Linked DNA regions of Daphnia pulex. The protein of the gene in region 1 binds, or shares a complex with, the protein of each later gene. Links are inferred from orthologs where the notes say so. Each region holds a gene or a part of one and is shown on either strand. Other genes may lie near its edges. The genes, in order: queuine tRNA-ribosyltransferase accessory subunit 2-like and queuine tRNA-ribosyltransferase catalytic subunit 1-like.

Region 1 (15,968 bases):
ACATCTTCCGTTTTTATTTCAACCAAGTGGAGCAATTCGATTTTTAATTGGCTCTCTCTGTAATCTCATACCCAAAACCCAAATTGAGGAAAAAAGAAAAAACAAATTCGCCGTAAAAATTCGGTTGTTTTCCCCCCCACACACATTTTTATCGGTTGCAGCAATTTCGCTTGTTGGAAATAGTTGCCATCACACACACACACACAATGTGTGGCTGGTTTTCTCTGACCTTCGTACAATGCCGTCTGTTTCCTTTTTTCATCTATCTGTGTGTGTGTTGTATAATGTATATGTTATGTATACAACACACTGTGCTGTATCCTTCTCGCTGTATAATATGGTAATAACAGAAAATTGTGTCTGACTCACCGCGCTTGCAACTCGCATGATTGGATCGTCCGCTGTTCTTTCCTCTGTAGAGCCTCGACTACGCAATCGCAAATGTTGTGGCAACCCGACAATAAATCTTGAGGCTGAACCTTCCTGACAGCTTCCATTTTTCCTCTATGTTTTTTTATTATGTGTCCGGAATTCTTTTGGAGGGGTTTCGTTTCCAGTTGACTGCGCCGAATCAAAATGGATTGACTGGCTACAGAAGGTCGACACAAAGCCCTCCAACATTATTTGCGTTCCTCTGTTGTGCCAAGTGTGATCGTCATCTTGACGTTTGGGCTTGTGCGTAGGTTTCTTTTCTTTTTCTTTTCTAAAGGTTGGAAAATTACTTCCTTTTTGACAAGTCAGGCCTTTTTCCGGAAGAAAAATAAAACCCCAATGCAAGGCCAATCGCTTTAACCTTGTCGATGCAAAAAAAAAAGTTAAACAATTTTGTGTGTGTGTGTGTGCGCGTTTTATTGTTTTCACGCTGATTGATTTCATTCCGCTCGAATAATTGCCATTTTTATTGATCGCTAAAAATAATTTGACTTCCGCCAGCGAAGCCGCTAGCACTTTGATTCCGGATAATACTGGAATTGATCGTTGAAGTCATCTAGCGGTCAAATTAATTTCGATTTAAAATTTTTGTTAAAGAATTCAATAGATGGCGCTTAGTTCTTGATTCATTAAAATAAAACCCAGAAGCGAGTTGCGCAATACTACAGAAAATAAATAGAAGGGATAAAAAAAACGGGAATGAACAATATTACGTGGGCTGAGAAACCGCAAAAGATGAATGATGGTTATATAACGAGTTTTCTATTGTTTGTCGCTGGTAAATCTAAATCTGCCTCGGAGAGTTGAAACAGTCCGAATGAGAAAAAAGAAATAAGAAAAGCGCCAATCTGGTATTTATATATACAGTATTTGACGTGATAATAGCGCAGCGTCGATTATTATTGGGGACTGACCCAGCGATTTTGAAAACACAATTACACCTCCCACCAGGTAAAAAAAAAAAATAAATAAAATGCCGTCAAAATGGGTATATAGAAGGAAACTTGGAACTGTGTTCCAATTCTTGTTTTGCTTTCGCCCACCGACGAATAGGAAGAAAAAGAAATTAGAAATCTTTTTTTCATTCTATTCCAAGCGTCCAGCACCTTTTTTCTCTCTCCTCTAAATTATTTCCATCGTCGTCGTGTGTCTCAATCGTCTATTTTTTTCTTTTCCCATGGCAGTCCCTCCTTTTTGATATCTTAATCTTGCCGACTTAATCTCTGCGTGTGTGTCTGCCGTTGCGGAGGTGAAAGTATAGTCTGTTCTGTATATGCTCTTGATGGAGTGTTCGAATGCAAATGTTTGAAAATCACGCCGGAATGCTGATGCCGTATACGTTCAACGGGAACTCGTTTTCTCGCCCAAATAATAATAATAATAATAAAAAAAGAAAATGTGTGTTGCGCGCTCAAGATAGATTGACTTTGATGACGGCTAATGGATAACGACCGATACAGGAAAGAAGAAGCGCCGCTCTTTTATTTGATATTTTTGTAATTCTTTCGTGCTGACGGCCGTCGACCGTCGTGATAATTGATGGTATAGCAGCAGCAGCCATCAACTGAGACGGTTATGAAGAGAGACCTACATTTACGGGAGGATACGAGCGACGTGACTTTGTAGCGGCGGCAGATGCTGGGCAACCGCGTTGACACGGACGTTAGAATCAAACGCACACTCGTCTGGCCATCGCCGAAATGAACGTCTGCGAGAGAAATGAAAACGGCCAGCAGGGAGAGGAGATATATGCAAAACTAGGAGTAGTATAGAAATGATTAGTGGTTGGCTTGTCCCCGATTCGACGCTAGTCTGAGCTTTCTATTGTGAAAATAATAATAAGAAGAAGAATCAACGTGTAGAGACCGGCTTCTCGTCCGCCTTGAAGAAAGAAAAAGCTTTCGTCTACATGTATATTTGCATCTGGAAGAGTTGTGTGTAGAAGTGGAGCCTCCCATACTTATCCGGGCTCTTGTTTGACTTGTTTTTTTTTTCTTCAATAGAAGAAGAAGGAGGATCCGTGGCAAATGGCGGCGACCATTATGTTTTCCGACCGCCTATATTCACGATGAGAGATTTCCTTCTTCATTATCATCGTGAAAAACTGTTGACAGTTCAATCCCCTCCTCTGCGCCGCGTTATATATCGACCGCAGCATCTGAGGGACGCATATGAGTAGTTCTCTCTCGTTTGCTCTTTGTCCTCATTGTTCACCCAAAAACCCCTCGGGGCTTTTCATATTTTTTTTTTATTTTTCCCGTATCGATTGTCTGATCTCGTAACGACTTCGTGAGCTGCTCATCTAATCGACTGCAATACTCCCCACCATTCAAAGTCAAACAAGGTCGGCGTGCACACGATTCACGATCCCTTATGATGGTAGAAGTTGTCGGTTGTCTGCCTCCTTTTTACTAGGGGCCTTTGATATTAGACGCCAATCGAGTCGGACTCTCTCTCTCTCGGGATAAAAGGAGCAGCAGCTGCGGGCTATGTATCCGACTCGAACCGGGAATAGATCATTAACGCTTTACTGAACGCGCGTTTCAGTTTCCCGAAAAAGAAGAAAACAAAAAACGGAGCAATTGACGTGGTGGTGGCCTCCTCACGGCGCGGCCAAACATCTTCCCGAGCTCCTAAATAATTTTTTTTTTTTTTCTGGAGATTTTTCCTATGAGCTCAGTGTGTTCAACACCCCCGCTGGGTGTAGGAACGAGATGATCGCAACGGGAGGTTAAGTCAATTGAAAATGAGCGCCAACCGAAAAAAAACATTTTCTTATTTTTTTTTTTTTTTTGTGTTTCCCGGACGGCGGCCGCAGACTATGAGGTCGGATTGAGGTTAATGGGAGCCCCCAACTTGTCGGTAGAGAAGGGAGGAGTCGTAACGTAAATGTGTGTACGTCTAATACTCTAATATAACTACGGGCAAAAAGACGTGCCAGGGCGCGTCTACTGTGTCGGGATTTTTCTCCACCGGAACAGCACGCCATCTTTGTCACGATCTGGCGTGCACATGCTGTAATAAAGTCGAGATATATAGTACTTGACTCTGGCTGGTGGTTGTTGTTGTTATCCCCCCCAAGACAACACACAACAACCCCCCCTCCGCAGCGAATAGGCAACAAGAGGTTGCGAACGCCAGCGACCGTTGCTGTGTGTTTTGGTTGGAGGGGACGGGTTGGTGTATACCCGCAAATTGAATGATTATCTACTTAGACGAGACTCACGGCACGGGAATCTTTCGGTATAAATCTTTTTGGCGAATGAGGTTAGCGATTGCTTCATTCATACGTGCGCGTGAGTCGAGAGAGTGAAACAGCCAGCAGCCGCTATCTATAGGGAAAAGTGCGCGTGAATCATGACGACCGACCAAGCTAGCCTCTCTCGTGTGTGCTGTTTGCACAGTGTGTCCCGGCACCCGATTTGGAATGGAGCCGAGGAGAAACTTTGACAACCTCTTCGCCCATCGACACCGAAACGGGCAGGGGAATTTTTGTTCAACAGTTTTGTCCAGGTGTAATGGAATATATTTACTACTCACTCACCTGAAGCCTTGGATCTTTTCCAGGACCATGGACGCATGCGTTTTCATGGCGTCGTCGGTCGCCGCCGTCCCGCCGCCGTCCGCTCCCGGGTTGGGACTGCCAGTTCGGGCCGGACTGTTACTCCTCGAATTGTTGGTACTGATTCGGGCCAGGGCCTGGGCCAGTTTCAAATCTCCTTCCATCATTTTCGACAAGAGCTTTTTTGGGGGGTTGTTGTTGACTGGTCAAACTGAGAAACTGTTGAGTTGAATGCACTTTTGGGGGGTGGAAATGAATAACGGACGAGAGAGTCAGCTTGTTCTTATTCCCTGGAATTTTCGAATTGTTCAGTGCAGCAATCAAGGATAAGAAGAAAAAACGAGCAAGAGAAAATCAAAAGAGACTGTGGGGTTTTTGCTTCCTGCCCGTCCGGCACTGACAGAACGACTGGCACAGTTGGAATCAGCAGGGAGCAGCTCTGCTGCTACACACGAACTCTCCCGTCTGCAGTCTGCACCTCCTTCTTTCTTATTTTCTTTCTCTTTCTCCCCTTTCTTTTTCTTTCTTTCTCTCTCTCACTCGTTTCTCCTCGATGACCAAATTGCCACTGCGACTGCTGTGTGCGGAGCCCAGCTAGTCTCAAACTCTTGTGTGATATCCTCGACCATTTCGACGCTCTTTTATGTGTGTCCGCGCCCGGACGACACGGGAGATCTTTGTCGACGACGAGATGACTGTCTGTATAACCTGGCCACCTGTTGGATTTGTATCTACACCAATCGCAACCACCGCAAATAATCGATACGACTATGGAATTTCAAATACTCATCGCCAAGACTTGATGAACTTGGCAGTTGCCGGCAATTGCTGTGCAAAGGTCAACGTAGAAAGCGGAGATTGCTTCGTATAGATGTGTATACATACATACTGTACAGGATAGTAGTAGCTTCGCTGCCTTAAGGGCGTGAACGAAAAAACAAAAAAATACTGTACAGTGGCCGGCCGATGTGGGAAACTGAATTGATTATACGGCCGGTAGTAGTGCGAATCGAATGCGGTCTCTCATCTGCTATATTTATAAATGCCTATGTGTGTGTTGTTTTCTCTCACTTGGTGTGTTTCGGGGCATAGGGGAGATTATATTGCAGTGGTTACAGCTCACCTCCACTATATACCAACCGGTCCCACATGTAATAATAATAATAACACACGCCCTCGATTCCTCCTTTATTTCCCAGACCGCGGCCGGATCACCGACTATGGCGCTATGTCGAATCGTCGTCGCACACCCACCACCACCACCACCACCACCACCAGATATTATATAGAAATATGGTCCACCATTTCACGCTAAACACAAAGAAAAATTGGGGATTTTTTTTTTTTTTTTTTTGCCTTTCTTACAAAACAACACGCGTGTAGAAAAAGATGCACAGATGTAGGAAAACCCAATCGCGGAGACGGTTGAAATATTTCTGGAATAATCATCCGCGTGTAGACGACGCGATCCATCACCCACCACCTCCCTCGGAAAAAAAAGTAATGCAACTTCCGTCCGTCTGTTATCTTTTCATCTGTTTTTCTTTTTCTTTTTTTCAATTACCACATTCAAATTTCTCTCTTGTGTAGCGGTTTTTATTATTTTTCTGTCGGGGTAGATAGAGAGATGATGGCCGTGTATACATATAACAGATTGTGCGTTGGTTTTTCTTTTGTATTATTTCGTGTCTGATATGTGGAGCGTTTCCTTCGTGAATGATGATCTCACATCAATGTGGATTCTCCTGCCTCCTCCTGCCACCGGGAATTTCCATATTCTAATCGACCGCGCATATCCGTGAGAGCGACTTTCAATAAAACGCGTTGAACGAAGAAAAGCCAACCACCCCCCGCTCCCGCTCCCGCGAACTTTCTCGTCAACAATCGTTTCAATTTGTCTTGCTGACTGTTGGAAGTCAGAAAAAGAAGAAACAAAAAACCCAAAAGAAATATGGCAACTAAAACAAGAAATGAAAACAACGTGGGGTTTTTGTTCGCTAGCTCCTCATCGCGCTCGCCAACTGTTTCACTAAAAATGAAAGAAATATAAAAATTCTGAGGGATGGCATATTATTTCAGCTATAAAACTACTACTATATACTATATCTTATTGCCTGGCGTTTTGTAATATTAGTGTTTGCGTCGGCGTTTAGCCTTTCATCCCGTTTTTTTTATTCCTAATAAGTTTAGCTTTCAAATGAACGATTTTTTCGTTGTTTCCCCGCGCTTCTTCTTCTTCTTTTTATTTGTTTACAACAAAAGACGAAGGCATTTCTTATGGCTGCTGTCAGTTTATTGTGCATGCGTATAATAACGAGCCTGCCAGTCGTGTCGTGTCAGCAATATAAGAAAGAAGAAGAAAAAACATTTGAGCGTGCGAGCTGCTCAAGTTATTCGATAAGTAGGGCTATACTTGGACTCGACCTGTAGTCAAAAGGAACAGGTCCTAGACGCTGTTGTTGTTCCTGTTCTTCTTCTTCGGGAGTTGGCGAAATACCCTTAGATAGAAATGAGAAAATGGCTTTTTTTTTTAAAAGAGAAGAGAAAGAGAAAGACATCGGGGCAGACCTTCTGCCGGGAGGCAAAAACGAACCGGACAGACAACTGTGAATGAGCGCCGCTATATACTGTCAGATGACATGTCATAAATTGACGGGAAAATAGGCCGTGATCTAAATACATGAAACATTCGTTTTCCGATCAATTTTAATTTTTGGTTTTTTTTCCGGGGAAAAAAATGTATTCCGACTTTTGTGTTGTTTTCGTGCATGTGATTAGTTTACATATGTAGATAATAATGGGTCAATGGGTAGATCGGCGAAATGAAACAAAAACAAAAAAACCGGATTGTTTTGCAGGTGATTGTTTGCTTTTTCCTGGGCAAATGATTAAGATGTATCTAGTTGTTGTTGTATCTTCGGCCAACGAAGCAGTTCAAAGAAGAGTATATTTTTGTTAGTTTTCTTGGCTTCCGCTTATTTGTCGAGAAAAGCTTTCGATGAGCGCCGATGGGCGACTTTTCCTGGAATCGAATTCGGCTGGCCGATCGACCAAAGTGAAAAGAAAAAATGGGGCGAGATTTTCACTCGATAATTACTTATCACCGGCGATTGGTTTGGCATGTTGTGCCAGGTTTCACTACGGGAAATCGTCGGAGCTTTGCGGCTGTTCGACTCAAAGATTTATCGCTACAGGCCAGACGACCGCATAACTTCTCTTTCATTGAAGATACTACGTCTAAATCCAAAATTTCTCGCTTGACCGTGAATTGCATCTTTTTCTTACCATCATACGAGTCATTCATTGATCTTTTGTCGTCTATTATTCATACCAAAAGCGATTTATTGATCTAATGTCATGCTGACAATCGAATTTGGCGCCGACGACATCGCTGCCGATTGTATTCATCCAAATCAACAAAATTGTCGTCTGCTACGACAGGTCGTTCAGTGTTTGAGACTCACGTGAAATAATTTGGTTTCGAAGAGGTTTTTTGCGTGACAGTGCAACTGATTTGTATAATAATATGAAATTTGCTGTATCTTTGGTGGCCGAATCCAGTGCCAGACTAGGCTCGTTAACGGAATTTGCTCGAATCCCAGAGGCTGTATTCGAAACCCCATTACTTTTGCTACACACTCGTGTATGATTATCTTTCTACCTACGATCAAATGTTGTTGCATTTTTAACGTGATTCTGTCATTATCTTTTTAACCATAGGGTGCTTCTGTTCCACATTTGAGCTATGATCTCTTACAAATGGTTTCAACTGGGCACCACATGCTTCAGATGCCTCTGGTTACGCTTGTTGATCACACAAAAAATGTGAAAGCATTCGGAAAAGGAATAGCTGAGTTTGCAGGTTTAAAGGTTGTTGATCTTGTCATGTGGATGATCGCATCTTGACTACTTTGTCCTGAAAGTGAAACAAGAATTATATAATCTTTCTTTTTAGGAATATTTAAATTATGTGTCTGTGCAAGATTCTGGCACTACAACACCTGAGGGCTACCATGAAAAGAATTCCATTTCTCTGTGGTAAATGCTGGATAACTTTTTTTTTACTCTGTTCCTATCCACCTCAACAATTGTGATGCCAATTTTTTAATTTAGAGCACTCTTTGGCTTTGGCTACTGATATACTATCTTATATTTTTATAGGACAAGAGGTGGAAGGAAACTGATTGACCCCCAGACTTACATATCTTGCATTGAAGCATTGAAACCAGACATGTTTCAAGCGATAGTTGATGGAGATACAACTCAAAGCAGTTCAGCTAAAAGGGTTAGAAAGTCTGTTGATGTTACTGTCAAGTTTGCTGGTATTTGTGCTGACCTGAAAGAAAAGTCTGATGTATGTAACATGTGTTTCTTTTTCAAAAACAGTAAATTTACATTTTCAGTTTTTTTTTTTTCTACACTCCCCAGGTTTTAAAAGACACTCCCATGTTAGCTTGTATAACTGGGGGATACAATATTAAAGAAAGATTGCGCTGTATAAACGAATTAAAAGGTTTTGGTGCTGCTGGTTATGTTATCGAAGGATTCCACACAAACGGAGAATCTGCCACGAATTTACTCTGGGAAGACGTGGAGCCAGTTTTAACGGAAACTTTGGTACGTTATCAATCATTCTTGTCTTGGCAGACACTAGAGAGCCGTGGAACACATTCAGATTGTATAAAACATTTTTTGGGGTTTTAATTACAGGGTTCACTTCCGGAAAATCTACCTCGAGCATTTCATGGACCCATTACACCTATCGTGCTACTGAAACTCGTATCTAAGGGTAAGGATTTAAAATCTTCGAATCTCGCCAAAGTTCTTAATAAGTCTTAATCTTTAAAACAGGCATTGATATTTTTGATGCAACGTTTCCGTGGCTAGTTGCAGAACGAGGGGGTGCGCTGGTTTTTCCTAATTCACTGTCCAAAGAGTAATAATCACTACGTTTTTCGATATTCATGCAGTAATTATTTAATTAACAGAAACGCTCCTGTTACTGAAACATTGCCAAGCGTGAAAGCCCCAGCAGTAGTTGCAACGGACCAAAAAGTTGCCAAACTTGCAGATGATAACAGCAATGACGAATCAGTGGATCGAGTCTACGAAATAAATCTCAAAGACAAAATGTAAGCCGATTGCTTCTAAATTTCTCGATTTTCACATACCTAATTGTAATTAACATAATAATCACTAGATACTTCAGTGACACCAGACCTTTATTAGAAGGCTGCTCTTGCTATAGCTGCCGCAAGTATTCGCGAAGTTACGTTCACCATTTGACCGCAACGGGTGAACTTCAAGGGCCTATCCTGATAATGATGTACTGATTACTATAGCTGCTTTCATTGCCTCGTTCGACATCATTATTTTTTTTTTCTTTTTACAGGCACAATCTTCATCACTACATCAACTTCTTTAAAAGTATTCAGCAGGCCATTAAGGACAATGAATTACAAGCTCTGCAATCTAAGCTTGATCTGTTTGTTTCCTCCCGCAGAAACTGAAAATAACAAATTTAACTTTTTTTTTTAATAGTTCTATTTCTCTACTTTTTTTAATTTAAAATCGGCAAAGGATTTGTAAATGTTTAATAACAGAGTCTCCGCACACTGTGGATTCGAACACGGAAAAGTGCTCGGGCGGAAGTGCGCATAGAGTTTTATTGGCTCCAACACGTAGAGCCATGCATTCAGTGGGTTTAATTAGAATTTCGACTTGGTAAGGCGATTTTGTTTTACTAATTTTAAGTCGAATGTTTATTTTCTCATTTATGAGGACGCAGTTGCCTTCCTGTGAAAATAAGGACGAAAAAGGGCGCTATTTCTTGAGGCTCCGAGTTTTTAGGTTATGACGGTAAAACGGTTTTTTATTGCCTTTTTAAAACCGAACCTTTGAGGTAATAGTTGGTAAATGGGTAAATGCGAGTTTTAAGGCATTTTAGTTGTGCTGACCCACGGTGCGCTGTATGGCAAGAAAAAATTTTAATAATCTAACGAAACAGAGTTACGATTATGCTGTCGTAGGCCTATAAAGATACTTATAAAGCATTTTTATGGCTCGGAAGTTAAACGGCCTTAACCCATTTCTAATGTCTTAAAATAGCTTTTCGGAGAGTTCTGCAGAGGTCAATGTTAAGGTTAAAAATTTCGGCTTCAAATAAAAATAACAGATACATATTAGAGAGAATCATTGTATTCTTCCTCGCATGCCAGGTCGTTAATTCGAATAACAGAAAGTATAGAAACGAGTTTAATTTTTCCTTGATAGGGCGCACCGTGCCAAAAACTAGAAATCATTTTTCAATCTCAATTATGGGGAAAGATAGCAATTTCCTCCCATTCCGGTGGAACGGACCTCCTTTGAAAAGTTCTAGTGGAAGTTTCTGTGCGGATTTTTCGTTCCGGTGGACCATCAGGTGCGGGACCGATCAAGGATGCATCCGCTTTTATTTCGGCAATCTGCGGATTCAGGGACGAATAGCTTCATTCAGAAGTACATTAAGCATTCATCAGTACATTATTACATTAATCCGAACACAAAATCTAATCCAAAATACTCATTTCAAACCAAAATCAATCTCTACTAATCTAAATTCCAAAACACAAAACCTAATCCCCGATTCCTTGGTATAGAGAATCCAACTGGTTCTTCCCGTCACTCTAGATCTTGGATTTTCAAGACAACATTTTTATCTTTTTTAATTATTCAATGGTTTACGTATTCACGTTAAACTTGAATAAAATTTTATTATCCATCATAAAGCACAAATAATGAAAACTAAAAAACTGAAAGAATGTTGATGAGGTAGCTTATCTTGTACTCGACGATCCTAATCATCTTTTTTTAGAGGTTGGTTGAGATCAACTATACTTCGCTACGTTTAATCCTTTAAACAAATTACTTTTTCAAGTTTTACCTTCTCATGTAAGCCTTAAACATTTGAAACAACCCATGCGACTAAATAACCTTTGTAACGTGAAGGATAATACAGTGTAAGGTCGTGAGATAAACGCTTTTACGTCGTACTCAATGAGCTAACCTGTCACTTCGGAAAGAAAACCTTGACTCCACAATTTACGACCGCAACTTTACAACATTTAAGGAAAAGAGAAGCACACGTGATACGCACCCTCGGTAAGTTTGTAATATTTATGTGTTGTAAGCTTTCCTTAAGCACTTGAGTAGAGTGATAACTAACTCTTCTTTAAACTTTGTAGGATACCCGCCAAAGAAATGTCTTGGCAGCAAAGAATTAGTTTATTATCAGAAACCTTTCACAACTGACGCAATGTGTGAGCTATAAAAATTAGATCAATTTATATATTTTGCGGCCCAGTATTTCTTTATTCCATTCGGAGCAGTTTATGGTCATTTACAACCGATTCGTTGGATCATTACCATGTCTACAATGTCGTCTAATTCGGTAAGGAAAACTTTGAATTACATATTTATTTGAATATTTATTATTTATTCAATTACAGTCTGAGCAAAGCGCTGGCTTCGTCAATCACGCATTTGACGATGGTTCACCTGATGGCAATATGTGCGAAAAGAATATTGACACGGAAGCTCCCGCAGTGATAATAACACAAGTAAAATTCACAGTTTAATGTAATCAAAATAATGTTTTCAATAAGGAAATTCCATCGAAAATTAAACAGAATGAAGGTGAAGATCAACCGGAACGAGAAAATTGGGACAATCCTGTAGAGTTTCTTCTCTCTTGTATTTCAATGTCGGTCGGATTGGGTAACATTTGGCGGTTTCCGTTCGTTGCCTATGAGAATGGAGGTGGTGCTTTCTTAATTCCGTACCTAATCGTGCTGGTCTTCATTGGACGGCCACTTTATTTCCTCGAGATGATCCTTGGACAATTTTCAAGTTCAGGATCCGTCAAAATTTGGGACTGTGTACCATTTGCTAAAGGTAACACCGAGTAGATATTTACTACAAGAATGAAATAATTTAACCCTATTTTTGTTATAAGGTATTGGATACGGACAAGCGCTGGCTACCTGGTGTGTCGTCACTTACTACTGTGTCTTGATGGCCTTGGCCTTTTTCTACCTCTTTGCTTCATTCCAAGCTGTTTTGCCCTGGACTGAATGCGATCCTGAATGGGCAACTGAAAATTGCTACAGTACCACAGCTAATCTATCGATGGCTAATCTGACTAACACTAGTGTGTCCAGTGCAGAAGAATATTTCTAGTGCGTAACAAAATTTTTCTCCACATGTGATTCGATTTATTTAACTATCTGTCTGTTCAGCATTTATGTCCTGAAGAAAATTCCCAATATGGATGATGGCATCGGGACTCCAGATTGGCGACTAACTTTGTGTCTCCTGCTGTGCTGGATTTTAGTATTCGCAATGCTCGCCAAAGGAGTGTAAGTACAGACTGTTTAAAATGTCGCCTACTGCAATTACATAACCTTAATCATCACGATTAAATAGATCCTCGTCAGGAAAGGTGGCTTATTTCACAGCCCTTTTTCCTTATGTCGTACTTATCACGCTTCTTATACGAGGTTGCACTTTACCCGGAGCAGGTGACGGCATCTTGTACTTTATCACACCTGACTGGGAAAAAGTTTTAACACCAGATGTAAATATTTTCCCTTCACGTGTACATAATTTGAAAGGTCATCTTGATTAAACAGAAAAATTATGCTTAGGTTTGGTACGCAGCTGTGACGCAGTGTTTCTTCTCTTTGTCGGTTGGCTTTGGACCGATTTCAACTTTTTCCAGCTACAACCCATTCCGCCATCCGATTTACAGGTAATAGCAATTTTACTAACGATTCAGTTTGGTTATTCGTTCAGTAGTTTATGTCTCCATGTAGAGATTCAACTATCGTCAGCTTGGCGGATACTTTTACCAGCATTCTGGCTGGAGTCACCATTTTCTCAATTCTTGGCAATTTAGCTTATGAAACAAATCAACCCATCGAAAATGTTGTTCAAGGTGGAACCGGGTTAGCTTTCATTTCGTATCCGGAAGCTATATCGAAATTTGATGCAGTCCCTCAGGTCTAATCAGATTTTACGCACATAAATAATTCATTTAAACACATTTTAATTAATTTTGTGTGTTGACGTTCAATAGTTATTCGCCGTGCTCTTCTTTTTGATGCTGATTACTCTTGCGATCGGAAGCGCATCCGGACTTGCCGGATGTATTATTACTATACTGTCTGATGATTTACCACACATTCCCCGTTGGATTGTCACTGCATTTGTTTGCGCCGCCAGCTTCCTCATTGGACTTGTTTACGTTACTCCGGTAAACTAATATCAAGCTCGTTTTGAAATTTTCTGCATACAATTTATTTGTTTGAACAGGGAGGCCAGTATATTCTGGATTTGGTGGATTATTTTGGCGGAGGATTCATCATTTACAGTAGGCTTTTTGGTTTACAAATGGCAGTTTTTTTTTTAAATGTTGGTTTGATAAAATAATTAAAATTTCTAGTTATGGTGATCGCTGAGACTATTGCTGTCTGTTGGATTTATGGTATAATTCAAAATGTTTAACCAAATTCAGTTATACGATTAATCTTTATGATTTTTACAGGACTCAAGCAAATAGTCAACGATATTCGCTACATGTTGGGATTCGGATTGGGAATTTATTGGAAATTCACATGGTGCTTTTTAATCCCAATTGCTCTAGCAGTCATCTTTATCTATGCTGTAAATATACAAAAATTAATCGTAACACCAGGTATGTAATTCATTCTACTTTCACTTCAGATGGTTGTTTATGAACCGTTGAAGACTGACGATGGAGAACCTTACCCTCCCGCCGCAAACGGTAAGTACAATTTAAGTTGTTACGTAACGGTGATAAAATAACACGTCTTATAATGTATTTATTAGCTGCTGGGTGGGTATTGGCTGCTATTGCCATACTTCAAATTCCGATATGGGGAGCTTTAGTTGTTCGCAAACAACAAGGAAATAACTGGATTCAGGTCTGCCTTATTATATAGTTATCTCTTTTTTTAAATGAATCAAACTAACAATTAAATTCGTTAATAATACTCAGCGATTCGAAGCTAGTCTTCGGCCGGCAGCTGAATGGGGACCCAAAAATCCTGGAATCAAACGTGACTGGTTAGAATACAATAAGCAACCTATAAGATTCTCATGGATTCCCAATCCCAAATGGACCAGAAGCTGTAAATCGCACTAGGAAACGTATTTAAAGGTCTAATCGTGTGATTCCTATTATATAAAGACCGGTTTTAAACAATAGGTCTGTTGAAAGTTATAACGCCAGAAAATAAATTACTATTTGTAAAACGAACACAGTGGAAAGAGAATGTATTTACTACCAGTACAACTCATCAAAACAATCCAAATTATGTCTCACCCAAGGAACAGATGGAATAACTCACAAGGTGTAAGACAATATTATTCCGAAATTTTAGGCTCTTTGAACACGCTTCCTGTATTTAATGGGTGCCACTGAGCATACTGCACCGCAAGTAACCCACGAATCACACTCAAGAACGAAACATTTATTCTCGTCCTGTGTGAGAATTGTATCTGGAGAGTGGCATTCGTGACACAAGACGTATTCCAACGCATAGAGACGCAAAATGTCTTCAATCTTCTTATGACTGATGTATCCTCTTCCTGGGGAAGACAGCACGAGAGATGGGTAGTCATCTTTGGTTAGAACTCCACTAGCTCCCAACTCGGATAGGATAAACGATGATACGTGGCGTAGATCTCTACCAAGTTCTTTGCAAAGCAGTGAAAAGTTGTCGATGCAAGTTTTCTTATTTCCTCGTTTTACGACCTGAGGAAGACTAATGCAAAACTTGTTCTCAGGACAAGTGACGGAAATGTCAGTTCCGACCAACACGGTCTTTTCCGACTCAGGAGTTACGTCACATTTGCCGGTGACTAGTCCTTCGGTTTTAGGGGCGAGGTTTCCCAAGTCGCGCTGACAAAAGAGTGGCCGGGAGGATTCAATATCCATAATCTGTTCAGATAAATCCATGCCCGTTTTCTTGATCCCGGTGCTCTGCGCTGGAACAGAGTTATCCATACATCCATGTTCCTCTGTTTCGACGGTCTGCGCCGGAACAGTTGGGTTATCCACAAGTCCAGTCGTCTCAATCCTACCAAACTGCGGCAGAAGAGGAAGTTTCATTGATCCATTTGACTCTATTTTAGAGATCTGCGCCGGAAGATCGGAATTTGGCATCACGTCAGAAGTAGATGTTTCTTTACGAATGAAGTCATCTTTTATGCTTTGAAACGATAGAAGGAAACAGGGGTCTTCTACGTTTTCCCCCTTAAGGAAATCATACCGTCTTCCACGACGGAAAAGGCACTTAATAGAAGCGAACAATTTCATTTTAACAACGATGAAACTTGTCTTTTGTCGAATATATGCAGCAAAGTAAGATTACAGAAAACTTGGAAAGCTTACTAACACCTCTATGAAGCAAGTATGATTTTGTGGTAGAGCCTCTTCGTACTTATACGCCTTCAACGAACATTTTCGGTTCCGCAAGTACTCCCGTGCTCACTTTTCTTCAATTTGATAAATGTGTTTTATCGAAAAAAGCTGAGTAATCATAAAATTATTCATCTATGGGTTTTAACTTACATTATTCAACCATTTTTTTTATTTCGTTATCATATTAATTAGAAAAAGAACGAAAAATTTTACAGGTCTCAGCTGTTGACCGGTTGTTAATACTCCTTAATCCTTTTTAATTATTTTATATTTATTTAATTTTTTAAAAAAAGTGTTTTATCCAGAGATGTTGCACTTGCAGCAATTTTTTTAAAAAAGTGTATTATCCAGAGATGTTGCTCTTGCAGCAATTTTGTAATTTGTTGCGCTCTCGTAGGTTTTTAAATTGTTTCAATTATTTTCAAAATCTTTCAATTATTTCTAGGAACAATGGAAGATATCGAAATGGATTCAATTGTTGAGAAAAAA
Region 2 (16,232 bases), about 3.9 Mb from region 1:
ATATGTGTCAACATTTCAAATGGAAATTTTTCTTTGTTCCAAGAAAAACTTTCCCAACGGCGATTAAGGTGGGCGTTTATTCAGGTAAGTAAAGGGATGGGGTGCGATTCGTGTTAGTTTAAATACTTCACTTGGAGAAGTACGCCATTAGTTTGATAGACCCACACCCGCCATACAGTCATTGCCAGAAACGTCTCTCGTTGCTTTTTTATCATGAATAAGGTATAAATGAATTAAACTTAAAATTAATTAATTTTTTTTCATCTTGAATATGCGTTACGTGCTGTTGTTATATAATCTTTGCATTGTTATACGCAGGTAATTTTACTTGCTGCTGGGTTTTTCGCCTGTCTTGGTCAGCTTTCGACCTCTCTATTTGTTGGAGGACAAACTCTGGGACCACCGCCACCTGTTCCGGATATTCGACAATTACTTTATGCTCCAGTATCCGCAGCACTGGCTAGCGGAACGACGGTTACAGCAGCAGCGGCGGCCAATCCAGCTGCAGTGGTCAATCCGAATCCGTGCTATTCTTTGGATGCTCAGTACCCTGATCGCCCTTGTAGTCCACCTCAACAGATGCCCAATCCGGAATACTTACCTACGCCAACTTTGGCACCTTATTACCAACCGCAGGTTGTCCAGCCGGTACCGCAGTTTGCGCCTGCAGCTCCTGCTTTTCAACCAAGGCCAGCTGTTAATTTTACACCTTATCCATACTTGAATGTCAAGCAATTAGAAGACGGTAAACATTATTTTTAACGGTGCGGATTAAAATAGATACACGTAACAATTTTTATTTCATTCAGATCGGACTCCAATTACGCCCGAGGATGAAGTTCCATCGCAATACGTTTAATGCCATTTGAAAGTTTTTTTTAAATATCGTGTGACGTTCTTTTTGTTTCTTTTTTGTATGAATTATCCAAGTTCTTAAATATACATGACGAATTGATGACAAACATTTTTGCATAATACTTATTGGTGTATAAGAGTAAACTGAGAAAAGGGTCTTTTTTCGTAAGGTTTGAAGGGAAATGCTAGTAAAATTTGATATTTGGAGAGGGAAATAGTCCCAGAACAAATGCTGCTACGTGCTTACATAACACATTACATAAGTGGCTTATATAACACTCAATTCAATATTCCATGGAACATTTCAAGCGTGACATTTTTTTTCATTTATAATATTTGCCCCACTACATCAATAGTCCTATGGAATAAGGATCGGATCAAGTCAGGATCAAGTAGGAAAATAGCACATCACCAAAAATTTCGTACAAGGCTTGCAGCTATCGCAAGTATGAATATTTAATTAAATCGTGTAGAAATGAATGATATTAGTGAAACCTTGTTGCGTTCTTAGTGTGAGTATATTTCCCATTAAAATGTATTCCATTATTGAAATTAACGAGGAAATTAATCTGTTTTTGTTAAAGCTCGTCAATAATTGCGTACCTTAATGGCTCAGGATGCTGATTAGTTCCGTGAATCAGTTTGATACTAAATTATGGATGTAATCTGGTAATTCATCTTACGACGATTTAAGTCCCTGAAAAACTAATGGGTTTTCTAGAAAGGCTTTGAAGAAACGGCCAGTTCAGTTGCGCCTATAAAACACTGTACGTCTGTCGTTGTTATCATTCAACAGCCGCAGTTCATTTCAGTTGCTCGTTATTCACTAGCTCCGCTGTCACCCAACGATGTCAAAGGTATGTTTCAACTACGATTACCTTAAAAACTTTGTTATTAATTTTTAGTTTAAATTCAGATGCAGATGTGGCTCTTGTTGGCAACGGCCAGTTGTGTGATTGCTCTATCGACTGCCCGACAAGCTCCTATCCGCAATCCAGATGAATCCAACAGAAACAGCGGTTACAACAATGACTACAACAGGCCCACCAATAACCGACCCAATTATAACCGGCCCACCTATAACAATAACAACTATCAGAGGCCTTCTGTTCCAATGGAGTTGCACTTTAATTTCACATTGCCCGAAAATGGACTGCCAGCTATCAAATTGAATATGGGCGCGGTGTCGCAGTACTTGGACGAAATGTATAAGAAGATTTCCTACATGAACAGTTCGTCTGTTCCTTCGAAAATCAAGAAAACTCTGCTCGTCAATATCAAGAACCCCAACAAACCAGTCAGACCCATTCCGGCCGAAGTCTTTGCCGCCGGTTTGCCAAGAGGAGCCTTGATTCCGGGTGATGTCGTCAAGCCGTGCCGCAAATTCATCATCTCCACCTGTAACATCCTGTGCACGGTGCAGCAGACCAGCTGCCGTTCAATTTGCGATGGCCGAGTCGACTGTCTCGCAGGCTGTGAAACGAGTCTTAGAACTTGCGCCAGCTTCTGCGATTCGACTTTCAGTCAGATGGATATCAAATTGGCAGAGGCTGCAAACGCCCTCAAGGACCAAATTGAACAAATTGATAGTGTAGTACAAATCGCGAGTAAAGTACCACTGATTGATGAATTCCAAAATGAAATTCCAAACTTCAAGTTTTACTTGCCAAAGTGTCTTCAAAATTGTGGCTCCAACGCAACTTGCACCAACCAATGTCATTATATCTGTCACAGCGTATTGGAAAAGCCCATTGCACAGTACGCTCAGACTCAGTATTCACCGGTTAATTATGCACGTCCTAACGTTCCTGCTCTTCCAAGTGGCTACCCAGTTGGTTCAGGAATAAGAGAAGGTGATGGTTCCGATGTCAACGATGAGCTGCTGAAAGATGATGACACAGAAAATGAAAAACGCTAATTTTTTCGTCTAAACTTTTATTAAATTAATTTGTATTGATTTCGCGCTTTCGTGTATTATTTGTGCTGTTTGCTCGCAATCATTACACTTGTTCAACTATGACAAAAATTATTCCAACTAGCATCAGCATCAGCAGGTACGGGTTTCAACTGTGAAACATTAAATGCCCACAAGGAAACTATACTGGAGAGTCTTATTGTGGCGGTTTGGGTCCAAGAGTATAATTATCTGTGGGTTTACATTTATCTTGAGAGTGGTAAGGGGACTCACGAGTGTAACTTGAAGAGACGAAATATTTGAAACTAACATAGTCCCGATCCGTTCAGTGGATGTCGAGAACGAGTGAGAAAACCGCTTTTTTATCGCTTTTGAGCAGTTTAGATTTACCGCCCCCCCCGGACCAATTAGAAGATAGTGTCGTCTGCTTTCAATTTGTTTTCGCTCGGACACTTTTTCGTAAGTTTCGAAAAAGAGACGAAGTTTGAGATTATTAGATTACAAAGAAAATGGATCACTGTTTTTAGAAACGTACGTGGCCGTACGAAAAGTAGGACAATAAATTAAATTATAAAAATGTGGTTGTGTGAACTCTGGTGTCAAGTCTCCATGCTCTCCACTCCATGCTGTTTGGCAGGTATTTAAATAAAACTACACATGGAATGATTTGGGAGCTTAAATACTAGAGTTTAACCTGTTCCAAAGTTGTGAAATGCCTGACTAGTATTTCTCATGTAAGCCCGCTGTAGGTGCATGGCAATTTAATTGCTCTACGACTTTCTCCTTTGTGCAGCTTTGAGGCCTGAGACAGCCATCATAGCAACAAGAAGATATAGTAGTATGCAAGTTTTGCTTGTGTTGGACTGTCATCAGCAACAATCTCATTATTATCACTAGGATAACGATTTGGGTTACTTTTATTCCTGCGACCTGCTATATATTTTAATGATGCATGACTTGCACATATGACAGTGTATTCATAGAAACCTTAAATTGTCCTGTTTCTTGACAATTAGGATTTGCCCAGTGTCTCATTTTCAACTTTTCCTTACTTGTTTCTTTCAATATTTTTTTTCGTAACCCAATTTACATTTTTCCTTTAGATACACAGCATCACAATTATTGGAGAAACTAGGATGTACTTCCCCTTCCTTAAATCTCCTCTGTTCTCATGTACATCAATGTGAGTGCATGGGTATATTCACAAGGACGTCCTTTTTCTTATCCCGCCTGGCAGGTCCAACTTTTCAGCGGATGGAAGTCATGGAACACTTGTGGATGCCTGAGCCTGACCGTATTCTCGAGTCTTTTAAAAGGTAGAAAACATTTATTTATATTCTTTTTGACTATTTGGTGGGATTGATTATAAATAGATCAGGCCCAGTTTTGCACCACGCAACTTTGTCTGTGGGTTTAAACAAGAAAATTCGAAATTTTTTTTTAACTTTAAACACTTTTTTTAAAAAAAAGCAAGGTGCAACCAGAAAATTATATGACCAAGAGGGACCTGCCACCACATTGGCATCTCCTGGTTAAGTAAAAAGAGAAAATTATACAGGAATGTGTTTTTTTATTGGTTTCTGCCGTTTGAACATCAAATTATGGACATTTGAAGGACGATCGATTGATTGTGCCGTTAATGATGTGGATGAGTCATCATATTGTCTTGCGGGATTCCCACCGGCCACCTAGACGAAGGCTACTGACAAATTGTGATGTCCAATCGTGAAGTGTTTAAGTTTACTGACGCCAAAATCGATAGGAAAGCCTAGGTTGCTTTAACAAGGTTTTCCATTTTCCGTATTACCATTGTCATTGAAAATGGACTTCATTAGTACCTGGTAGTTTTTTTTTCTTTCGTTGCCACTTTTCCTCCACAAAAGTATTTGATCATGAACGTTGCGCAATATTTATTTTTTTTAAACGACCTTCACATTGGAAATTCCTAACCTTCCCCCTTAATTTCCGTAGTGTGATTTTTATAGTAGCTTACTTCATTTTCCTTTTCTTCGTCCCAAGGACTTTGTGAAAAGCCCAGAAATCTGCTGATGTATTTGACCATAGATAATGACCATGATTCTAGTCGCTTTCACAGTCGTCACCTTTTCTACACTTCATCGAGTCTCTTGATCGCATTTCCAATATGGTCTAGAAAATTAAAAAGGGCAAGGTTAATCAAAAAACGAATAAAATATAATCATGAGTTTTTTTGTACGCCGTGAGCTCAACCTTCCGGAATTAAGTGAAACGCAATTAAGATTATTTTTGTTTGTGGTTTGAACTGAGTTGCCCTTGACCACTACTTCAAAACACCCATTTATATTTGAAATGCGATACTAGAGATTGATTTAAATAGCAGCAGACTATGTTGAATGTTAATGATACAGAAGCTTGCGAAGATTTTGTCAAAGTGTTAACCGGTTCTCGTGAAATTTACAGTTTTCTAATTCTTCTTCTTCTTGTTCTCATTCCAGAAATAATTACACTCGTTCGAAACCGGCCAATTTTCCAGAAAACAGGTCATTATTTCTTTGTCTATTAAAAACATCTCAATTTTCTTACGATATCAGCTAGACAAACAAAATTGGTTCGTCAATGGAAAGAATGAATCGATATTCAGTGTTTTCGTCTTACGTAAACAGAGTCTGTATAGACCCGCCTCTATTTTTTGGCCGATACACTCTGCTATCGTTCAACCGCGTTCAACCACGTTCAACCACAACGGTTGCAAATTTACGTATCTCTAATAATTATGGTCAAAGCAACAGTCTCTACAGCCCCATATGAGTTTGCTATAAAAGCCCTGGATTTCTTCACCAACAAACAGTGGCGATCTAACTCGGTACGTGTGCAGATAGTCGAGAGCAATCCGTGTGAAAATCTACCAACCAACAAAGTGAGTTCTAACTGTTAATTTTAAGTCAATTAATGTTGAAATAATGCTAATCTTAATTGACGAGAGTAGATTCACGATAACCATTCATTCATGTGATGCTAGAGCTCTGAAAGTCTTCTAGTTAAATCAAATTTCAGCCAAAAGCGCTGCAGAAGCAGAGCAGAGCAGAATAAAACCCAACAATTTTTCGGTTTTTATTCAAATAGGTCAAGAGTCTATCACCAAATTCACACGGAGAATGGACAGCGCAGAATTCCGTCAGCGCGGTCGAGAGATGGTCGACTACATCGTCGAGTACATGGAGACGTTGGGTGAGCGACGTGTGACTCCTTCCGTTGAGCCAGGATACCTTCGTGAAATTATCCCGAAGAATGCACCCGAAGAGGGTGAAAAATGGGAGGAGATCATGTCGGATGTGGAGTCTAAAATTATGCCCGGCGTAAGATCAAACATGTTTATTTTTAAATATTATTATGCTTAATAGGTGAAGACGATGAAGTAATCATCGTACTTCGCAATAAAGAAACTTAGATATTTACGTAACCGTGTGCTCCTGAATGTGACAGGTTGCACATTGGCAGCACCCGCGGTTTCACGCTTACTTCCCATCGGGTAATTCGTTCCCGTCCATTCTTGGTGACATGCTTTCTGACGGCATCGGGGCCATTGGTTTCTCCTGGGTAAGGCCAATCATTGTTGTTAAATTGAAAAAAAATATTCGAGACTGAATTTCACCACCAATAACAATCTGAATTCTAATTTAAAATGCAACCCATTTGAATTCCTTTTTCATACAGGCCGCCAGCCCCGCTTGCACTGAACTAGAAACGATCGTTTTAGATTGGCTAGGTAAATGCCGTAATGCTTTCTTTGTATAAGTGAAATAATAAAACTTATGATTTCTTTCACTCAGGGCAAATGATCGGCCTTCCGGACGAATTTTTATCCTTTTCTGATAACAGCAAAGGCGGCGGTGTCATGCAGGTAATGTTTCGAAGACAAAATATCATTTATTGCCACGAGATAAATATTCGTTTTTAATGTGTGCGCATCACTTTAGTCTTCGGCTAGTGAATGTGTCTTGGTTAGTCTTTTGGCTGCCCGTGCCCAAAAAATCAAAGAACTCAAAACATTGCATCCATTCGTCGAAGAAGGTGTCCTGCTTTCAAAATTGGTCGCTTATTGTTCGAAGGAGGCTCATTCATGCGTTGAAAAAGCGGCAATGATTGCTTTCACGAAACTGCGTATTCTTGACCCCGATGAGAACTTGAGTCTGCGAGGCACTACTCTGGCTCAGGTATAATCAGATGACTTGGCATTTTCTGATTTTCGTTGTAATGCGGTTTCAAACCCTAATAATTATCTTTTAAGGCAATCGAAGAAGATCGAGCGCTGGGTTTGATTCCGTTCTTTGTTTCAGCCACATTGGGAACCACTTCCTGCGTCTCATTTGATAACTTGGCAGAAATCGGCAAGAAAAATATTCCTTTTTTTCCCAACAATTACGAGACAGATTTAATTATTCTTAATTTACCGATAGGTCCGATTGCTCAGGAGGCTGGAACATGGCTTCATGTCGATGCAGCCTATGCTGGTAATGCGTTCATCTGCCCTGAATTCAAATATTTAATGGACGGCATTGAATTTGCAATGTCTTTCAATACAAATCCTAACAAGTGGTTGCTAACCAACTTTGACTGCTCTACTATGTGGTGAATACTTTTTCCATTATACTTTCAATTTACTCTTATTATTTTCTAATTATAACTTAAATGGAAAATTTAAGGGTCCGTGATCGCTTCAAGTTAACTCAAGCCATGGTAGTAGATCCACTTTATTTGCAACACAGTCATTCTGGAAAAGCTATCGATTATAGGGTAACAATTGTTTATTGCTATAAATTTAAAATTATACTAACTATTACGGTTGGATATGACGTTGCTTTTTGTTAGCACTGGGGTATTCCTTTGAGTCGCCGCTTCCGCGCACTTAAACTATGGTTTGTCATCCGCAATTACGGTGTAGCAGGATTGCAAAAATATATTCGCGAGCATTGCCGTCTGGCCAAATGTTTTGAATCACTTGTTAAAGCCGACGAGCGCTTTGAAGTGTGTAACACTGTCAAGGTACAATGTCCACATCAAATAACTACCAATTAGTACACTAATCATAAACATTTTTATGTTTGCAGATGGGATTAGTGTGTTTTCGTGTGAAGGGTGACAATGAACTGAATCAGAAACTTTTGTTAAACATCAACGCCTCTGGTAAACTGCACATGGTCCCGGCTTCCATCCACGGACGGTTTATCATTCGCTTCTGTGTCTGCGCACAAGATGCCAAGGATTCTGACATTGAATACGCGTGGAACGTGATAACTGATTTTGCGACAGAGTTGCTGAATGAAGAGGTCAACCTAAGTAAATCTGTAGTTTCTCTGGATGGCCTGGAGAGCTGTGATGAGGAGCTGGTTCAGCATATAGATCAACTGGAAATTTCAGAGCTGATGGATTTAATGGAAACCGTACAATTCCCTATCCAAAAACCTCACAGAAAGCACGGTAGTTGGCTAAAACTACTTGGAACCAGAGTTAGAAAAATTGTGAAGAATGGTGATTCTCATTGAATGTAAATGTCTTTTCATTTTCGTCTTGGTGCAACGTGAAAGCAATTCCTAATTTTTTCTCGCATTCTTCTCAAAATCGGTTGAAAAAGATTATCGTTACCGGACACAGCGTCATGATATATCAGGTGATGGAACAAATGGAAATTTGGCAATTATTTCATATTCACATATTTTTGTTTAAAAATCATATGAAATAAAATTGATCAAAAAAAGAAAAATGTACTTTCGTTATTGTCCCCGAAATTGTGAAAAGATAACAAAACGGTGTTTTTGTTTGAAAATCTTGTTTTCCCGGGTTTTTCTGTATTCTGACTTCTGAGGCGTCTGCTGTAAACACTAAACAGTAACAGCTACACACATCGAAGTAATTCACGTGTGAAAGTCTATCGATGTGCAAGGTTTTTTTGCTGTGACTTACGTGGATAATTTTCTAATTGTTCCGAAGTAATATTTTCTTTCGATTAAATTTCACCATGACTCGCCATCCTTTGACGTTTCAAGTTTTAGCGCAGTGCAAAACAACTAAAGCAAAATGCTCTCGAATGACGTTACCTCACCACGTTGTTGAGACACCGGTTTTTATGCCAGTTGGTAAAAGAAAACAGATATTATTATTTTTTTCATTCAATTAAAAACAAGACGAAGAAAAATTACAGAAATGTTGTCTTTTTTCAGGAACACAGGTAACACATCAACTCGGAGATGAATAATTTATTGGTTCCGGTAACTGATAAAATGCCAGACGCTTAAACAACATGCACTTTTTATTCTAGGGCTCGTTAAAAGGTATAGTACCTGAGCAATTGGAGCAACTTAATTGTCAAATCTTGCTTGGAAATACATATCATTTAGGGAACAGACCGGTAAAGCAATACAACAAATTCAATACAAAATTTGAAACTGTGCTAATTAAAACAGGGCTTACACTTTTTAAAATAATAGGGCCCTGATCTGTTGGAGAGTTGTGGTGGGCTGCATAACTTTATGGGCTGGTCCAGAAATTTGTTAACTGATTCTGGTGGATTTCAGATGGTCTCGTTACTAGAGCTAGCTGAGATCACAGAGGAGGGAGTGAAATTTAAATCTCCTTATGATGGTATTTCATCAAATCAATGTAAAAAACTTAATGTGTTAACTTATTTGTTTACTTTTTATAATTTATTGAAGGAAGTGAGTGTTTGTTAACACCTGAGAGATCCATAGAGATTCAAAATGCTATTGGTGCAGACATCATCATGCAATTGGATGATGTAGTAAGTTCAACAGTATCAGGACCTCGAGTTGAAGAAGCAATGCACAGGTAACTGATTTTATAAAGATTATATTATTACATAAAGAGTTAAATTGACAAGATTATCTATTTTCTAGAACTACGAGGTGGTTAGACCGCTGTTTGAAAGCCCATAAGCGGCCGGAAGCTCAAAATCTTTTTCCTATAGTTCAAGGGGGCTTAGATCCGAAATTGCGAACTGAAAGTGCTAAGCAATTGATGGACAGAGATGTTGCAGGTTTTGCAATTGGTGGTTTAAGGTATATTAAGTTAATATTATCAATAATTTAAGGAGAATTTTGCTAACTCGACTGATCGAATTCTTTCTTTAGTGGAGGCGAAGGAAAGGACCAATTCTGGAGAATGGTTCATTTATCTACGGATCTTCTCCCAAACGACAAACCAAGATATCTAATGGGTGTTGGGTTTGCTACTGATCTCGTAAAAACATTTATCATAAGCATTTAAAAAAAGTGGAAATAATTTTTTTATTCTTTAGGTTGTTTGTTGCGCCTTAGGTTGCGACATGTTTGATTGTGTTTTTCCAACACGAACAGCTGTAAGTTATTTTTTAAACAACATAAATATTTCATTTTTGTAACTTCGTTAATTTCTTAAGAGATTCGGGTGTGCACTGGTTGAAACTGGACAACTGAATTTGAAGTTAAAGTCTTTCGCGCAAGATTTTCGCCCTATAGATGAAAACTGTGAGTGCTCCACTTGCCGACGTTATACAAGGGCGTACCTTCACACCATTGCAACGGTAGAGACTGTAGCTTGCAATCTTATTACCGTCCACAACGTTGCATATCAGCTAAAGTTGATGCGTAATATTCGTGAGAACATTTTGAAAGGGACTTTTGTCGACTTTATCTTTAATTTCATGGATACCATGTACCCAAAAAAGGATTTTCCTGTTTGGGCCACGGATGCTCTAAGAGTTGTCAATATTGATTTGTACGAGCGTGGCAGTATGCACAAGCATCAACAGGTTGATTGTTAAAAAATGTATTTTAAACTTGAAAAATAACAAGTGCGCTGGATCTGCGCAAAATAATTTGGATGTTGCAATTGTCACATTACATTGGAAAAATGGCAATGAGACAGCATTGTTTTTCTTTGATAATTTTCAAATCTAAATGGATCCCTTAACCCAATCAATTTCTAAAGTTGCTGGTCCAGACTGTTTATGCTCTTCATAAACTCCACCATAGTATTGAAAGCCAAAACTGGTTATGTTGGTGCTATCTAGAGGTTCTGCATTCTGCAATGGTTGGCCTCTCCAATAGGGTTGGAATTTGTTAAGTGGTAGATTTAGCTCTTGAAATTCATTTGTAGCAGTGAAAAATTGTTCATAGCTTGGAGATCCATCACCCACTTCACCATGATGCTTAAGAATGATTTTGAAATTAGTTGCTTGACCTTGTCCTCTTATTTTCATTCTTATGGAAGAGAAACCAGACAAATCAAAGTCCACTGCTGTACGAACTCCAGCAAATCCTGCTCCATTGGGCTGAGGATTGAGCAGAGCAAAGAAAATTGCTCGCTGAAAGAGTTGTGCCTTCTGAAGCAGAATTGTAGCCTTTGACATTCCTGGCTGGCGTACTCTATAATAATAATGTGGTTACTTGAATGCAAAGTATTATTTGTAAAGAGATATTACGTGTCAGATGATTCAATCCAATTACTGACATCAGCATTAGAATCAGTGAAATCAAAGAGGGTTACATCTTCACCAGCATTCATGCAAGCTTGATTCCTTGAGCTGGAACAAAAAATAAGGAAATAAACAATTTGTTAAAACTAAAACTAAATGTAACAACTTCTGCTTACGATAAAGTAGAAGTCGATAAGCATGCCACTGACGAATGATAACTTGATGCTAGAGTTCCAACAAGGATAGCTCCCGCAACTTTAAGCCCAATATTAGCAACCATTTTTTGTGTTCCAGAAGAAACCAGCGCTTTTATCAATATAGTTATTTGAATACTAGCTCAACCACAACAAAGAACAAAAAGTGCACCACTGGGAAAACGGAGAATCATCTGAGTATTTTGCAGACACATAAAAAAAGTTTCTAAAACTTACGTCGCTCATAATTTATTTCCTAGTAATATTGAATTAATGGAATTTTCTCTTTGTCAAAACTTGTTTATTATTATTCTTACCCCCAAACCCCCGAAAAAATGTATAAATAAAAAAAAATCACCTTGAATTCATACCGACGATAGCTCAGATGGTAGAGCGGAGGACTGTAGCGGCAATCGAAATCCTTAGGTCACTGGTTCAATTCCGGTTCGTCGGAATCCTTTTTTCTTTTCAATTTTAATGTCCGTGTACAAAGTTCATTAAATACACAAATGATAGTTTTAAAAATATGTTCTTCACTTTGTTTTGACCTGGCTTAGTTACAATTTCAGCTCATTTATTATTTCTGCAATTTTTTGTATTTTTATTTTCATTCGTTTTATTTTTAGAAACAAATGCGAACTATTACAATATTTGACGAAAACATCCGCACAAACTAATTCGCGCGCTGCTCGCTTCCTTAATTCCACCCAACCGAGTGCAGTGCTCACTCTAATTTACAACATACAGAGATTGAGATACACACCATTCTTCTAATCTTCTGGTCGAACGACCCATTTTTCCCGCCCAATACCGCGTTGGTATTTTTTCTTTTCCCCCCATCCGGATGGCGCATGGGCCTTGGATTTCATACGTAGTACATTATTGGTTCACAGGTGGCGCAAATGTTGGGCTGTCCTATCCTATTCAAGGGCATTCCTCAGGAAGTTGTCACATTAAAAACAAAAGATTCATCAAAACAAAGATGTGAAAATGATGCGACTATCAAGGATTCATCTTTTCGTTTTTTTCGTGTATCTATGGGTGTATTGTCCAGTAAATGGAATCTCTAATATTTTCAAAGGTTTACCACCTTTATTTGATTTGAGTTTATCGAATAACGATACTTCTGTGAACGTAACTGTTCATCAAGGTACATGGGTTTTCTATGGCTTCCATGCTCTAGTTTATGTTCTAATTTGTCTTACCTTATTGATAAGATGCAAAAGAGATTTGCATTCCACCTTTATTACTGCATGGCTCAGTTGACCCAGTGAAAAGCCAGTACAAATCTCAGGATGTTATAAGGATCATTTGTAAAGATGGGTACGAATTGGAGAACCCGCAAAGCAGTCTTCTGTACTGCTCTCAAAAAGGCCTATGGAAGGTTTTTACCTTGGGAGATTCTATTTACATCCCATTACCGCGGTGTATAGGTAATTCAAATGTAATGACAATTATAAAACCATTTAGTTATTTTAAACTTTATTTACTATTTTGCAGTCAAAGAGAGATGCCCCCCATTGCCACCATTGATGCAAGGAAGTATGCAAGTACAGGTATAATTTGTTTAACTATTACACTTGTCAGAATAATTTCATTGCCCATGTCTAATTCGTAGGAAGGGGGAGTAAATGCAGTCACATCTGAACTAAGTTCCACTCGTGCAGTTTACCAGTGTTGGTTTGGCCTTGAATTAGATCCACCAGAAAGTGAAATCAGATATTGTGTTCGAGGAAAATGGACAGGAGAAAACCCTTTATGTGGTAATAAGATAAACATCGAATTTAACATGACACGTGGAATCAATTCAATTTGATTAGTTCCAGCTAGCTGCCCTCGTCCACCGTCCGTTACAGGAGGATTCTTTATTGCAAGAGGTGTTGTCAACCACATCTACGTGTCCGGAGCTGCTGTCAAGTACTATTGTGATGAGGGTCATCATCAAAAGGGCCCACCACTCCTCACGTGTTCCGGAAAAGAATGGATCCCCAAAGATCTTCCGGCTTGTGTGCCGATAGAATCGTCAGCTGCTGCTGGTAAGTCCCTGTTTACTTCTTGTCGTAGCTACTAGATGGAGTCTTTTGGTCTTTTGCGTACTATTTAAAAAAAAAGGAAGGAACCCACAAAACCTGAAATACGGAAAACTTGTCAATCGGTCTGGTTCTTTTCTCCTCGCGTAAATCTATTCATCGATTGTTGTTAGGCCGTCCTATATTAGAGGCGAAGATTAACACTTGGTGTTTTTGGTCCTGAAAGATTTATGATTCAATTGAGTTTATCTGAACGTTTAGAGCTAGAGGAACCGTTGTGGTCGTTTTCTTTTTCCCTTTCCAACCGAATGGTACAGTTTCGACTCTTATCTTTCCAAAGTCAAGGAAAAGTCTCTTCTATCTCACTTTTTTGTCTCAATGCATTTACACGAGAGGTGTCGATCGTGCTGGCGATAGGATGTTATTCCTGATCGCGCACGAGTCGTGCTATTTATTACCGTCTTCTCCAATAACTTGAAAATGGGGGTGTTGTACAGTTCTACCATCCATCCATCCACGACCATTGGGTTTAGCTCGTGAATAAATTTCCCCGAGCAGTCAACAAATGACTCCTTTCTCTCACTCCTTTACTCACTCGGCATTGCAAATACCATCACCGTGTGTCTGTCGTTCCAAGAAAAACTCCTCCCTTTCTTGTAATGATATTGACTTATGCTAATCCGTCAGTAGAAGTTGCTGATGGGGTTTTCGACTTGTTTGATGGATTAACGTGACTTTTGCACAGTACATATCCCGCGTCTTTTCGAGCCATCGAGCCGTGAACCAATTGAAAAAGAAAAAATAACCCCGGAGACGACAGCGACTTTCATTTTATTGGTTTTTCACACGTATAGAATCTTGGACATAGTGGCTGCTGGAACTTTGTTGAAAGAGAGAGAGAGAAAGAGATAGGATAAATTGCTTGGTGTTCCAAGTTGACCTTCTTGGCTTAATGAATACCAGGCAGAACAGACAGAGAGAGATGGAGCGAGAGAAAGAAAGAGAAAAGAATCTTTCTTCTTTTTTCTTCTTGTTATTCTTCCAGTTTGGAAAATGAAGAGAAAATGACGCCGGAGGAAATCTTTTTGTGTGAAAAGTAAGGGGTTGGAATGTTTGACCCATGGCCAGTCTCAATAATAATGAAGGGGTTACTGTAGCGAGAGAGCGAACGAACGAACTCGAGTGCAAAACTGTTTTGGTTGCTTCCACACTGTTTTGTGTACGGGACAGTTTAATGAAGTGAGAGTTTTCTTTCTCAGTTTTTTTTTTTTCTTTTTTTTTAAGAGTTATTTTGTTTTTTCTTCTCAGCTTCTTCCTCCGGTTGCTACTCTCGAGGCGCTAGCTGCTTGTTTCAGCCAAAGAGTCTATCATTTGGTTCGGCCGGTCGTTAAAAACAAAAACGAAAGAAGAAGAAAAAAACTCAACAAAACAAACTGTTCTTTCTCTCATTCGTAAAACAACAACAGCACGGCTATTTTTTTTTCTCCCTTCCTCTTCGTGATAAAATATTTTTTTATTTCGTTACTTTTTCGACAAGAGGTAACACCTTGCCCGTTTCGCTCTCCCCTCGGCTCTTTATTTTTCCTCTCTTTCACGCACGATCTCTAAGATAAAGAAGAAGAAGAAAAAAAGCGACGACGACGACAGACCACAAGGGACCATCATTCTAACTGTTTAGTGTATATAGATATAGATATATTATCCACCAATCTAATCTCCTGTAACACACAAGTCTCTCTCTCTCTCTCTAGCTGTAGTCTCTATCTATTTTCTTCCTTTTGCCGCTTTATATCTCCGCGGCTCATTCTCTTAACTCGTTTTTCCATCTGCCTCCCTCTCGCCGCTCGAATAATGATAATAATAATAATAACAACACAACGACTACTACTACTTCTGCTTTTTTCCCCTAGTCGTCGAGGCTCTCTTATATCCCCAACGAGAATAAATGAATAGTTTGAAGCGAGTGTGAGAAATGATTAGATTTCGCTTAATTGAAGGGTATTATGGTGCAAGAGTGGGAGCTCTTTACATACTGTGCAGAGAAACTGTTCATTGTTCGTCTTTCTCTTAAGAAAAAAAAAATTTTGGAAAAAAAGTTAAAGAGACGCCCAGAATCTTTTTCACGCTGCCACCTTTTTTTTTTAAAAAATTCCCTTTTTTGCCTTTTGTACACATAGAAGAAAATTTCCAATTCGTTCATTTCCAGTTTCAAAAGTTTTTTTTTTTTTTTTCCTCTTTTGGTTTTTTGTTTTCTCTCTTTATCTTTCCACACTTAATTGGACGGGAATAATGCTAATGTCGGTAGAGTACTACACAACACACCCAAGCGCATTATCCCGTGTTTCACGAAAAGACATGGTCGGAGATGGGAAATTCCGGATGGATGAGAGAGAGAGAGAGAACTAGCCGATGGCCTCAAGTTAGATATGAAAACCCCCCAAAAACACGAAAGCCAAAAGAAAAGAAAAAATAAGCAAACAAAAAATAGAAAAACTTGAAAATGTTTTGAGGGTGTTTAATAGCTATAAAATAGGGGAAAGAAAAAGAAGAGTCGACTTAAAAAATAAACTCTTTTTTTTTTTCTCCCTCCTTTTTTTTAACGACCATTATGCAAAGTGCGTTGCCGCCGCAACCGCCGCCGCCGCCCATGCGCATCCGTCCCCTGTCATTAAGTGCCTCCTCCCGCGCGACACAAACATACATGTGTGGTGGGCTCTCTGTTGGTTGGTTGTTTTATTTGACCTTTTGCCATTGGTGTAACCTGGCGAATCGTTTAACAATCAAAGGTC

The links.
Region 2: the proteins of queuine tRNA-ribosyltransferase accessory subunit 2-like (region 1) and queuine tRNA-ribosyltransferase catalytic subunit 1-like are in contact, whole or in part, in a crystal structure (PDB 7OVS), measured with the Mus musculus proteins. The link is inferred for Daphnia pulex from reciprocal best matches to the Homo sapiens genes QTRT2 and QTRT1. Residues at the interface, in NP_001343258.1 of Mus musculus: Arg39, Thr40, Gly41, Ser42, Ala43, Pro44, His45, Leu46, Thr47, His48, Gln49, Thr50, Asn53, Glu70, His71, Glu73, Val74, Glu77, Tyr78, Phe85, Ile86, Gly87, Phe119, Gln342, Glu343, Phe345, Tyr355, Asn359, His360, Ala363; in NP_068688.2 of Mus musculus: Thr50, Thr53, Met54, Lys55, Gly56, Ile57, Thr58, Thr59, Glu60, Gln61, Ser64, Arg80, Pro81, Leu85, Lys88, Ala89, Phe95, Met96, Asn97, Ala307, Lys308, Phe310, Pro320, Thr324, His325, Ala328, Phe329, Ala332, Leu333, His335.

What each region holds. Positions count from the first base shown.
Region 1 is NC_060021.1:7,438,187-7,454,154, forward strand, and holds queuine tRNA-ribosyltransferase accessory subunit 2-like, read left to right. Parts: upstream 1-7,412; 5' UTR 7,413-7,520; coding exon 7,521-7,637; intron 7,638-7,714; coding exon 7,715-7,864; intron 7,865-7,949; coding exon 7,950-8,032; intron 8,033-8,155; coding exon 8,156-8,348; intron 8,349-8,422; coding exon 8,423-8,611; intron 8,612-8,704; coding exon 8,705-8,783; intron 8,784-8,845; coding exon 8,846-8,930; intron 8,931-8,982; coding exon 8,983-9,126; intron 9,127-9,194; coding exon 9,195-9,320; intron 9,321-9,386; coding exon 9,387-9,504; 3' UTR 9,505-9,532; downstream 9,533-15,968. Other genes in the region: sodium-dependent nutrient amino acid transporter 1-like, read left to right, coding at 11,289-11,292, 11,362-11,423, 11,482-11,592, 11,662-11,926, 11,988-12,210, 12,271-12,390, 12,458-12,608, 12,679-12,782 and 8 more; uncharacterized protein LOC124194826, read right to left, coding at 14,433-15,221; uncharacterized protein LOC124194827, read left to right, coding at 15,833-15,872, 15,925-15,968. UniProt on the Homo sapiens protein: Non-catalytic subunit of the queuine tRNA-ribosyltransferase (TGT) that catalyzes the base-exchange of a guanine (G) residue with queuine (Q) at position 34 (anticodon wobble position) in tRNAs with GU(N) anticodons (tRNA-Asp, -Asn, -His and -Tyr), resulting in the hypermodified nucleoside queuosine (7-(((4,5-cis-dihydroxy-2-cyclopenten-1-yl)amino)methyl)-7-deazaguanosine).
Region 2 is NC_060021.1:11,356,706-11,372,937, reverse strand, and holds queuine tRNA-ribosyltransferase catalytic subunit 1-like, read left to right. Parts: upstream 1-8,615; 5' UTR 8,616-8,765; coding exon 8,766-8,883; intron 8,884-8,967; coding exon 8,968-8,975; intron 8,976-9,065; coding exon 9,066-9,155; intron 9,156-9,234; coding exon 9,235-9,388; intron 9,389-9,459; coding exon 9,460-9,592; intron 9,593-9,660; coding exon 9,661-9,822; intron 9,823-9,894; coding exon 9,895-10,003; intron 10,004-10,061; coding exon 10,062-10,121; intron 10,122-10,181; coding exon 10,182-10,565; 3' UTR 10,566-10,664; downstream 10,665-16,232. Other genes in the region: LIM domain-binding protein 3-like, read left to right, coding at 214-222, 319-745, 810-859; uncharacterized protein LOC124194017, read left to right, coding at 1,704-1,712, 1,772-2,773; tyrosine decarboxylase-like, read left to right, coding at 5,905-6,105, 6,233-6,346, 6,464-6,515, 6,580-6,650, 6,727-6,963, 7,038-7,378, 7,453-7,543, 7,619-7,792 and 1 more; uncharacterized protein LOC124194020, read right to left, coding at 10,698-11,169, 11,226-11,327, 11,396-11,499; uncharacterized protein LOC124194013, read left to right, coding at 12,404-12,563, 12,631-12,846, 12,914-12,969, 13,032-13,176, 13,234-13,449.